2 linked regions of the Coturnix japonica genome follow. The protein of the gene in region 1 purifies or fractionates together with the protein of each later gene. This does not show direct contact. Links are inferred from orthologs where the notes say so. Each region holds a gene or a part of one and is shown in the gene's direction. Other genes may lie near its edges. The genes, in order: plasma membrane calcium-transporting ATPase 4 and NPTN.

Region 1 (4,379 bases):
CAGGTTGCCTATTGCTGCATGCAGCTGCACAAGCGCAGAGCGCTGCCCTGAGAGCTCGGCAAAGAGATGTGGACACACAGGGAGGAATCCCCTTGCCAAAGGCCCAAAGAGGAACCCCCCCCAGGACTGTTCAGGAATGCAAAGTTATTGAGGCGCAGCCCTCAAGGGCAGGGGTAAATGTTACAAGTGTTAAATGAGGGCTTGTGCACGCACAGATGTTACACTGGTTTGACTTGAACTGGGTTGCATGCCCAAACAACAGGATTAGTGCTGAGTTAAGGTTGCCTACACCCAATATTACACCAGCATAGCTGCATCAATGCCGTGTTACGTTTTCCTTGCAGCCACAGCATTTCCAGGGCTTCAGTGGAGTTTCAATGCATACTTTTTTCTTTGCTTCTGTAATAAAAGGGGGAAGGGTTGGCTCTGCCTGGACAAGGGGCTGAGATTCATGCTCTGCACCTCAAGGAGCAGCTGTACCCCTCCTGGGTGACACCACCACCCCACGCTGTAGGGACAGCAGTGGCTGTGCCCTATGAGTAGCAGGGTGGGGCACACCCCCCCGTCACATGTCACCAACGACAGTGACCACAAGGAACCCCGAGCTCTGCTCCAGAGATTTTGTGCCCCATGCTCGCAGCAGGAAGGACTTTCTGTGCATCCTGTTTTGCAGTGACCACACTGCCAGGGGAGCTGGGGGGTGTCCCAGATGCATCCATCATGAGGGAGCAACTTACACTGCTCGAGGAAATCTGTACCACCACAGCAGGGGTGCAGTATGTGCAGAAGGGGGTACACAGATTTTGGGGGTGCAGGCACAGCGCTTGGTGGTGCGTGCACTGCACTGCCCAAGGGAGGATCCGCAGTGCCAGGAGTGCACACAATGCCGCCCTGCAGCCGCGCACCCTGGACGTACCGCTCGAGGTGGGGGGCACACACGGACCACCGTGCTTGGAGGGGGGTCCTCTGTCCCCACGGGTTCGTGCACCGCTTGCAGCTGCTCCACGTGGGTGACACTGCACGGACACCCACCTCCTGGGTGTACATCTGTACTGCTCGGGGGTTGGTGGTGGGGGTTGCCTATGGGGAAGCCCACGACGTATGGAGGTACACGTACCGGCACCGGGGTTCACCTGTACTACTCGACGGTGCTTCCTGGGGTAGAGGGGCAGTGTCCGCGGGGTGCACCGATACCGCCCGAGCACGCACCCGCCCCGCAGCGCCCAGGGGACGCAGCCCCGCCCGCCGCCTCCCGTCCCCCTTAAGCAGCGGACGGGGCGGGCCGCCACCTTAAGGCAGCCCCTCCCCCGGCAGGCCCGGCCCGGGTTGCCATGACAAGCATTTTCTCCCGCTAGCTCTGCAGCCGCCGCCGCCCTCCTTATGGCCGCCCGCGGGGGCTCCGCCGACAGTCGGGACGGGGCGCCGCGCCGGTGAGTGCGGGACCGAGGCGGAGGGAGCGAGGGGGGGGTTAATTCCCAGGGTGCCCCTTTGGGTGGGGCGGGTGTAGGCGGCGGTGCTGCCTTCGAGGTTCCGTTGGGGGGGAGCGTCCCGCGGAAGGAGCGCGCGGGTTTCGCCTTCCATAACGCTGCAGCTGCTGCGGGGTCGGCTGTTGGAGACAGTGGGGGAACGTCGGTTGGGAGGAAGGACACGGGACCGGCGCAGCAGGTGGGAGGGAGCGGGGGGACGGGGAGTTGTTCTGCCGTCGGAATCTGGGGAGCGTGGGGGCCACGCGCATCTCCCGGGTCCGAGCGGATCGCGGAGCGGTTCGGGGGGTGGCCGTGACACCCCGGGGCTGTGCGAACTCGGGCGGGGGGGAGGGAGGCGGTGGGGAGGGGGGAGCGCTCCGGCTGTAACAGCCGCCCACCACTTGTTGCTGCCCTTGGGAACAACCCTTGGGGGAGCCGGGGGAGGGGGGGGGTTGCGCGGCGTTCCCGCGTGGCAGAGCGGCGTGGGGGGGGCGGGCGCAGCTCGTGGATGCGGCCGTGGCCGGAGGGAAAGGCTGAGCGGGGTCGGAGGGGGAGCGCCTTGCGGCAGCCCGAGGGCAGCGCCGGGAGGTTCCGCAGGGGCGGCTCCTCCTCGGCCCGGGGCTGGGAGCCGCTCCCCGCCTGCGGCAGCGCTGGGTGGGGCAGGGGCTGCGGGCACGGTCCGGGCCGCGGGGGCTGCACGGCCCCCCTGTTCCCGGTCGTTCTGCATGCGGGCGGGGAGGAAGCGAGGGGATGGACAATGGGTTATTGTCCTCTTATCTCCGGAGACCTGAGGGCGGGGGGGTTGCTCGGCTCGCGGACCTGTTTGCGCCGCGGGGCGGGGCACCTCTCTGCATTCCCCCCCTCCCGCCCCCAAATGGGCGCAGCGCTCCCGGTAACCGCTCGCGTTGACTGCGCGGCTGCAGCCGCTGCGCTCAATGTGAACACCGAAACGCACCTGAATCGTTAAGCAGCGAACGAGCGGGGCTAACTAACACCCCCGGCTCTCCCCGCTCCCAGCCCAGCTCGATCCTTCCCCGCGGGGCGCAGCCTCCCCTGAGCCGCCCGCCGCTGTCCGGAGCGCTGCGCTCCGCGCTGAGCATCGCCGTATCCGCTCGTGCGGCGCTCCGGCCCCGGGCTCAGCGGCTGCGGGGAGGGACCGCTGCGCGCTGCCATTGTTGTGCGGCAGAAGGCAGCAGGGTGGAGCCGTGAGTGAGGAATTCCCCCTTCCCCGAGGCCTTCCCTGGCTGCTGCGGTGCCCCGGGAGCTGCGTGCACCCTCTCAGCTTCCCTTGGTTCCCCGCGTTCTCCCATTTTCGTTCTCTCTCTTAATTAATCTGTGCATATATAAGTATATCCGCGCGAGTATACATATGCATAAAATTTATTTCCCCTTGCTGTGCCGTGAGCACAGTTTGCTCACAACATTTCCACCGCCTGTTGCTGCAGTGCTGTGAGCAGCCCGCAGGGATCTGCTGCCCTGTGCTGCAGACGCTGCTGCTGCTGGCTGCTCCCCCCAGCCTGGATCCCTCCCAGCTGTGTTCTGCAAATCAGTGCTGCTCTCTGAGCCATCTGGAAGCTGTGCTGCTCAGCATGGCTGGAGCGATGGATGCGTATCCATAGGGGTGGCTGCTGCAGTGCATGGAGGTGATGCTGTCTCCCAAATTCCTCTGCCTTTTTGGAGGCTTCTGGGATTGGATCCCAGGGATGTGACATGAGCATGGGATGCTGCTGCCTGATGGCTGGTTGAGGTGGTGGAGGCAGCGGTGTCTCTTCTGTTGTACAGGTGGAGAATTGGTGCATGGAAAGGGAAATAAATGGGACTGGGTGAGCAAGGAGAGGGAGCCCATCCCTCTTTCCTCTCACTGAGCCAGTGGGCATCAGTCCTGTGGTGATGGGGATACTCCTGGTATAAGAAGCTCTGAGCTTCGGGCTTAAGTAGGATGGAGCACCTCTCTGCATCCCTGCTTGCAGGGTCAGTGTGTGCAGAGCTCCTGCAGTAAGGAGGGGTTGCAGCCCCGGCCTGGGGCTCCTGGCTCCTCATGCCCAGTGTGGGGCTGTGTGGGAGCTGCATCCCTGCCACCTCCTGCTGGAGCTTCCTGAGCTGATGAGACATCCTACTTTGATGTTTTAATGAGTTGCTTTTGGCTTTAATGCAGAAGAGTAATAGAGTTTCCATGGTCTTATAGACCCTACTTCTATATTTGTTAGTTGGAAAAGGGGGAGGGAAGGGGAGGGGGAAAAAAAAAAGGAAATGCTTGGCACTTGTAGAGTGCGTGGCACACTGCTGGTGTGCTACCCACCTGTGTCACTCACCAGGACGGGACTCCCTGACGCTCAATGAGCTCAGTGAGACACTGTGCGGCGTCCTGCCCTGGGGAGCTGCTGAGCTTTGCTTGCAGGAGGTGTGGGTTGTGGGGCACGAGCATCCCTGTGGCACATGCAGAAGGACGCGGGGACCCTGGAGTGGCGTGCGGGGTGTGGAGGTTTGGCAGTGGTTTGTGCTGACGGAGAAACTTTTCCTTCCGTGGCAGGGATGAGTCGGCAGTGGGCTGGGAACCAGCGGAGCTCTGGCATCCACGGGTTGTGTGAAAATCTCTGTCCCTGTATTATTTTTAATGTCCCAAGCGTGTGTATTCCCACCTACTGAAGTGATTGGGATGTGGAAAGCAGTGGGCGGAAGCCCTACCCGGAAGAGTTTGTCCGGCAGGGAGGAGGGATCCTTGCCTGCTCCCTCCTGCTCATGGCACAGCGCTGTCCCTCTCCTGTCCATGCAGATCTGCCACCTCCCAGTCTGCTTCTGTCTCCTTGAATGCAGAAAGGTCAGCGCAGCACCCAGAGCTGGGAATACACAGGAGCTGTGTGCTGTGGGTCCTGACCCCAGCATCTTCTCCATAGGCAGAGGAAGGCTCGGTGC
Region 2 (3,805 bases), on another chromosome or scaffold:
ATCGTGACTTCATTGCTAAGTGCCTTGTGACTGGTATAGTTATTCCAATTCACGCTTGTGTGTGGGGGAAGAAGTATTGAGCTGAATATTTTAATGGTTTTGCTCTGTGACATTTTATGTTGAGAGATGTGACCTACTGTTGTTTGGGAGGCAGAGCGCTTCGACATCAAACTCCTGCTGGATACAGATAAGAGGAGAAGCTGACTTCCAAGAGGATGGGGAGCATCGTATCTGACACTGCCCCGAATGTCTCCCAGCTGTATTCTGTGTGTGAGCACAACCTGCCTCCAAAACAGGAATTTTGGCTAAGAGGGGCTGGAGTTTCCAGCTGTTGGTGCCTGGTTTGCTGTGGGCTCTGTTTGACGTCAGCACCATGGAAAGAGAACGGAACATCAGCTGGATCGAAAGAGCAGAGAAGTGCCACTTAGTTTTGAAAGTTAGCACCTAAGAGCTTGATCTGGCTTCAGTCTCATGACTGGTTCGGATAATGAATTTTGCTTATGGGTTATTTTACAACTGGATTGTACATAAAACAAGCAGTGCAAATGATAGATGTGTGAAAGAAACTCTTGCATCTTGTTCTTTCAGTTTGACATCTTTGGTTGTCACTGTCCCAGTGATATTCCATGTGCAGTTTGTCTTACAGAGCTAAATGAAGTTAGAACTGCCTGAATGCTTTCATTTATTACAAACTAAGATAATATAAACGCAGGTCAAAGATGTGGATGCATTTGACTTCAGTCCTCTATTGTACTTCAGAAAGTTGTGGGTTACCTGTGAGAAGTGTCAGGGGGGGAAAACAACACAGCTACAGTAGCAGCAGTTTTTCCATGGGTAAAATGGGAACTGTAATTTAAATAGCTCTGATTTGTGGCCTACACACTGAAACAAGGAGAAAAAGGATATTCAAGGCTTCCGCGTGGCTCTGTCAGGTTTTCAGGAGGTAGATAATTTTTTATGCCTGTTTTCTGGGCAATAATCAAAGCATTGTATTGGATAAATGGATGTTTTATGCAATGAAAATTAGTGTTTTTTTGACAGGACTGCTATTTCCCCCTCATCATTCCATTAAGTAACTTGTTTTCCAAGTACTTGTCAGATGAGTATCCAGAAGGCTGCTTGGGTATGACTACATTTGTATTCCAAGTATCTTATGGCAAGGCAAAGGGGGAAAAAAACCCTCCTAAAAACAATTAAAATCCTTTGCTGACATGCAAAAATCACTGAGATGTTCATTATTGACCAGCTTCACCTTGCACTGTGCTGACCCAGCTGCAGAGCAGGCGGCTCTTGCCTCGTTAACACATTCAGGTATTTCCATCAGAATAATGGAAAGAATCCCGCAGTCTCCCTAAAGCTTTGTCATACTCTGTTCTATTTTATTTTTAAGTGAATGCTTGTAACTGTGAGCCCTGCAACCTGCTGCAGCCAGCAGGGAACACCACGTGTGGTCTCATCATGAAATGAGACTCGCTTTTTTCATCATAAATGTTTATGGTTCAGGTTGCTTTAAAAACCTGACTCCAGTTTAAACATCGTGTATATTCCTGTATTTTATTCTTAAGCATTAAGGCCTGCTTTCAGCTGTTTTTCTTCAGACTCGTGTCCTATTCAGTGGGTGTTTGGTCTCTTTCCACATACAGGAGAAGCTGCTCTGCATCTCTCTTGTGTTGAAATGTAACTAAGCTCACATGCTCCGCATGGCTTTGTAATTGCAGAGCGATGCTCATGTCTGGCGTGGAAAGATGGGCAGGTGCAGACAGGATAGATTCCTTAGGTAGCCATTAGAGTTTTATTATAGTGAAATGTTACTCAGAAGATGTGCCTTGGGGGGCTGTTCTCTGTAGAAAATGGACTTGTTTTAAATCTCAGCGCGAGCAGAGGCGGAGTTAATAGCCAGATTGAAGATGCTTCCAAAGGAACAGCTGATTTCTTGTGTGTATGCCTTTGGGACGTATATTTACCTGTTCCTTGTTCAGCGGTGTTTAAAGATGATTGAGCTGCACTGAAATCTGTAGCAATGTTACCAACTAAAATGAATATTTTTTTTCTTTTCCCATATAGGGGAGCTGATCCGTAAGGTGTTGCCTTTGCTCTGGTGGTCAGCTGTTTTATTGTGACTTTCTTGATGTCTCCCAAATTAGTGCAGTGATGTTCCTCGTGTAGTCTCTTTTCCTTTCCCTTTCCTCCTTTGAATTTTAGATTAGCGTGGCACATCTACCAGTGAAGATTTCTTGCTACTTAATGCCTTGTTTTTTCCAGAGCCAAGGATCAATGCCAGCGAGGACGTAACCATCCAAGTTTATGGCCAGGCCGCCATCACATTACAGTGTAACCTCACCACCAGCCCCAGCCCCCTCTCTGCCAGCTACTGGGTGAAGAATGGAGAAGAGATTCCTGGCACTAGAAAAACCTCAAACACTACAGAATACAAGTAAGTCTCCTTGGGAAAAATCTTGTGTTATGTTGGAGAATGCCAAAACTGGTAGAGTTTAAGCTTTGGAGCTGCTGTTGGGATCCTGAGACTCAAACAGCAAGCCTTGCTTTCCTTCCCTTCCAGTATATTGTGCTCTTATCTCTGTCCTGCTTACATCTACCTGAAGATGAATTTTCAGCTGTGCACTTCTGTTGTACAGGGATAAATCACTGCAGCAATCAGCTGGTTTAGTCATTTCCTGACCTTGGAATGTGAAGAACTGTTCTCTGAGTGTTGTCAGGGCAGTACTTTGAAATGATACCAAATCTTGACTAAACTAGCAGAGCTCTATCACGTGCTTCTTGTCACTGTATCGGTATTTTCAGCATTAATGTGTTCCACGTGTGTGTGCTCCAGATTTTTATCTACTTCCCATCTACGGATGTGGAGGAGAGCAGAATGTATATGGCCAGCTCTTCCATTTCTCTGTAGCTTGCACCAAGCAGAAATCCTTCCAGGGTTCCTGCACTCCTGACTTTCTAGACATGGAGTTGATGAGAGCATAGAGAACGTGCTCAGTGATGCCATCAGAGACCTGTCCTGTGTATGTGGTTTCCTTGCTGTTTTCCCTCCCAGGCTTTCATTTCCTTCTCTTGGAGCTAGAATGGATCTCAAGCACAACCTTCTGTTCAGTGCTAAGCTAAATTGGGAAGCACTTAGGGAACATCTTAACCACCTGTGGTTCTCTTTGGAGAAACAAGACCAGTTTTGAGCCTCCTTTTTAGCTGTTACAAGCGCCAGCAAGAGGAGCAGGGTAATGCCTACTGTATTACAGTGCATCTGCTCTACTGTGCCTTGTCTGCTGTGTGCTTTCCTGGCTTCTCTGTATTTGCTACAGTTCTGTGGGCTCTTTACTGCACAAATGGCACAGAATTAAGAAATGCTGTAGGTTTCCATTGCCTTGGCAAGGTGAAAATTCACCACGAAGTTATGGAAGCTGTACTTACTTTTGACGAAGCTGTGTTTTTGTTCTTCTGTTTTACTTTCCCCTGCAACCCACCTTGCATTATTTGTTTGGGTTTTGCAGTTAAATACCCTAGTTCTGTAAATAGATGCTGTTAAATACATAACCACATACTCATTGTGGCTGTGTCTGAGATTTAAAGGCTTTGCTTTATCTAGAGTTGAACTTGATGAGCAGCCTTGTACAAAAGCACCAGCTGGAGTGGTGAAAAAGGCACATTGCATCAGGATAATGGAGGCTCATGGGTTAACAGAAACTGCCTATCAAGGTTAACTTAGAGAAGTTCTGTTCCAAGCTAAGGGTGGGTTTTTTTTCCTTCTGAATTTCTGTGTCAGGTAAAATGTTTGGAGTTTTCAGTTCCTGAA

Evidence for each region.
Region 2: the proteins of plasma membrane calcium-transporting ATPase 4 (region 1) and NPTN purify together in Homo sapiens (co-immunoprecipitation; 3 studies listed by BioGRID and IntAct, with this or other methods). This does not show direct contact. The link is inferred for Coturnix japonica from reciprocal best matches to the Homo sapiens genes ATP2B4 and NPTN.

Annotation. Positions count from the first base shown.
Region 1 is NC_029541.1:4,878,493-4,882,871, forward strand, and holds the start of plasma membrane calcium-transporting ATPase 4, read left to right. Parts: upstream 1-1,295; 5' UTR 1,296-1,430; intron 1,431-1,537; exon of another isoform or gene 1,538-1,665; intron 1,666-4,379. UniProt on the Homo sapiens protein: Calcium/calmodulin-regulated and magnesium-dependent enzyme that catalyzes the hydrolysis of ATP coupled with the transport of calcium out of the cell. By regulating sperm cell calcium homeostasis, may play a role in sperm motility.
Region 2 is NC_029525.1:1,550,573-1,554,377, reverse strand, and holds part of NPTN (neuroplastin), read left to right. Parts: intron 1-2,262; coding exon 2,263-2,434; intron 2,435-3,805. UniProt on the Homo sapiens protein: Probable homophilic and heterophilic cell adhesion molecule involved in long term potentiation at hippocampal excitatory synapses through activation of p38MAPK. May also regulate neurite outgrowth by activating the FGFR1 signaling pathway.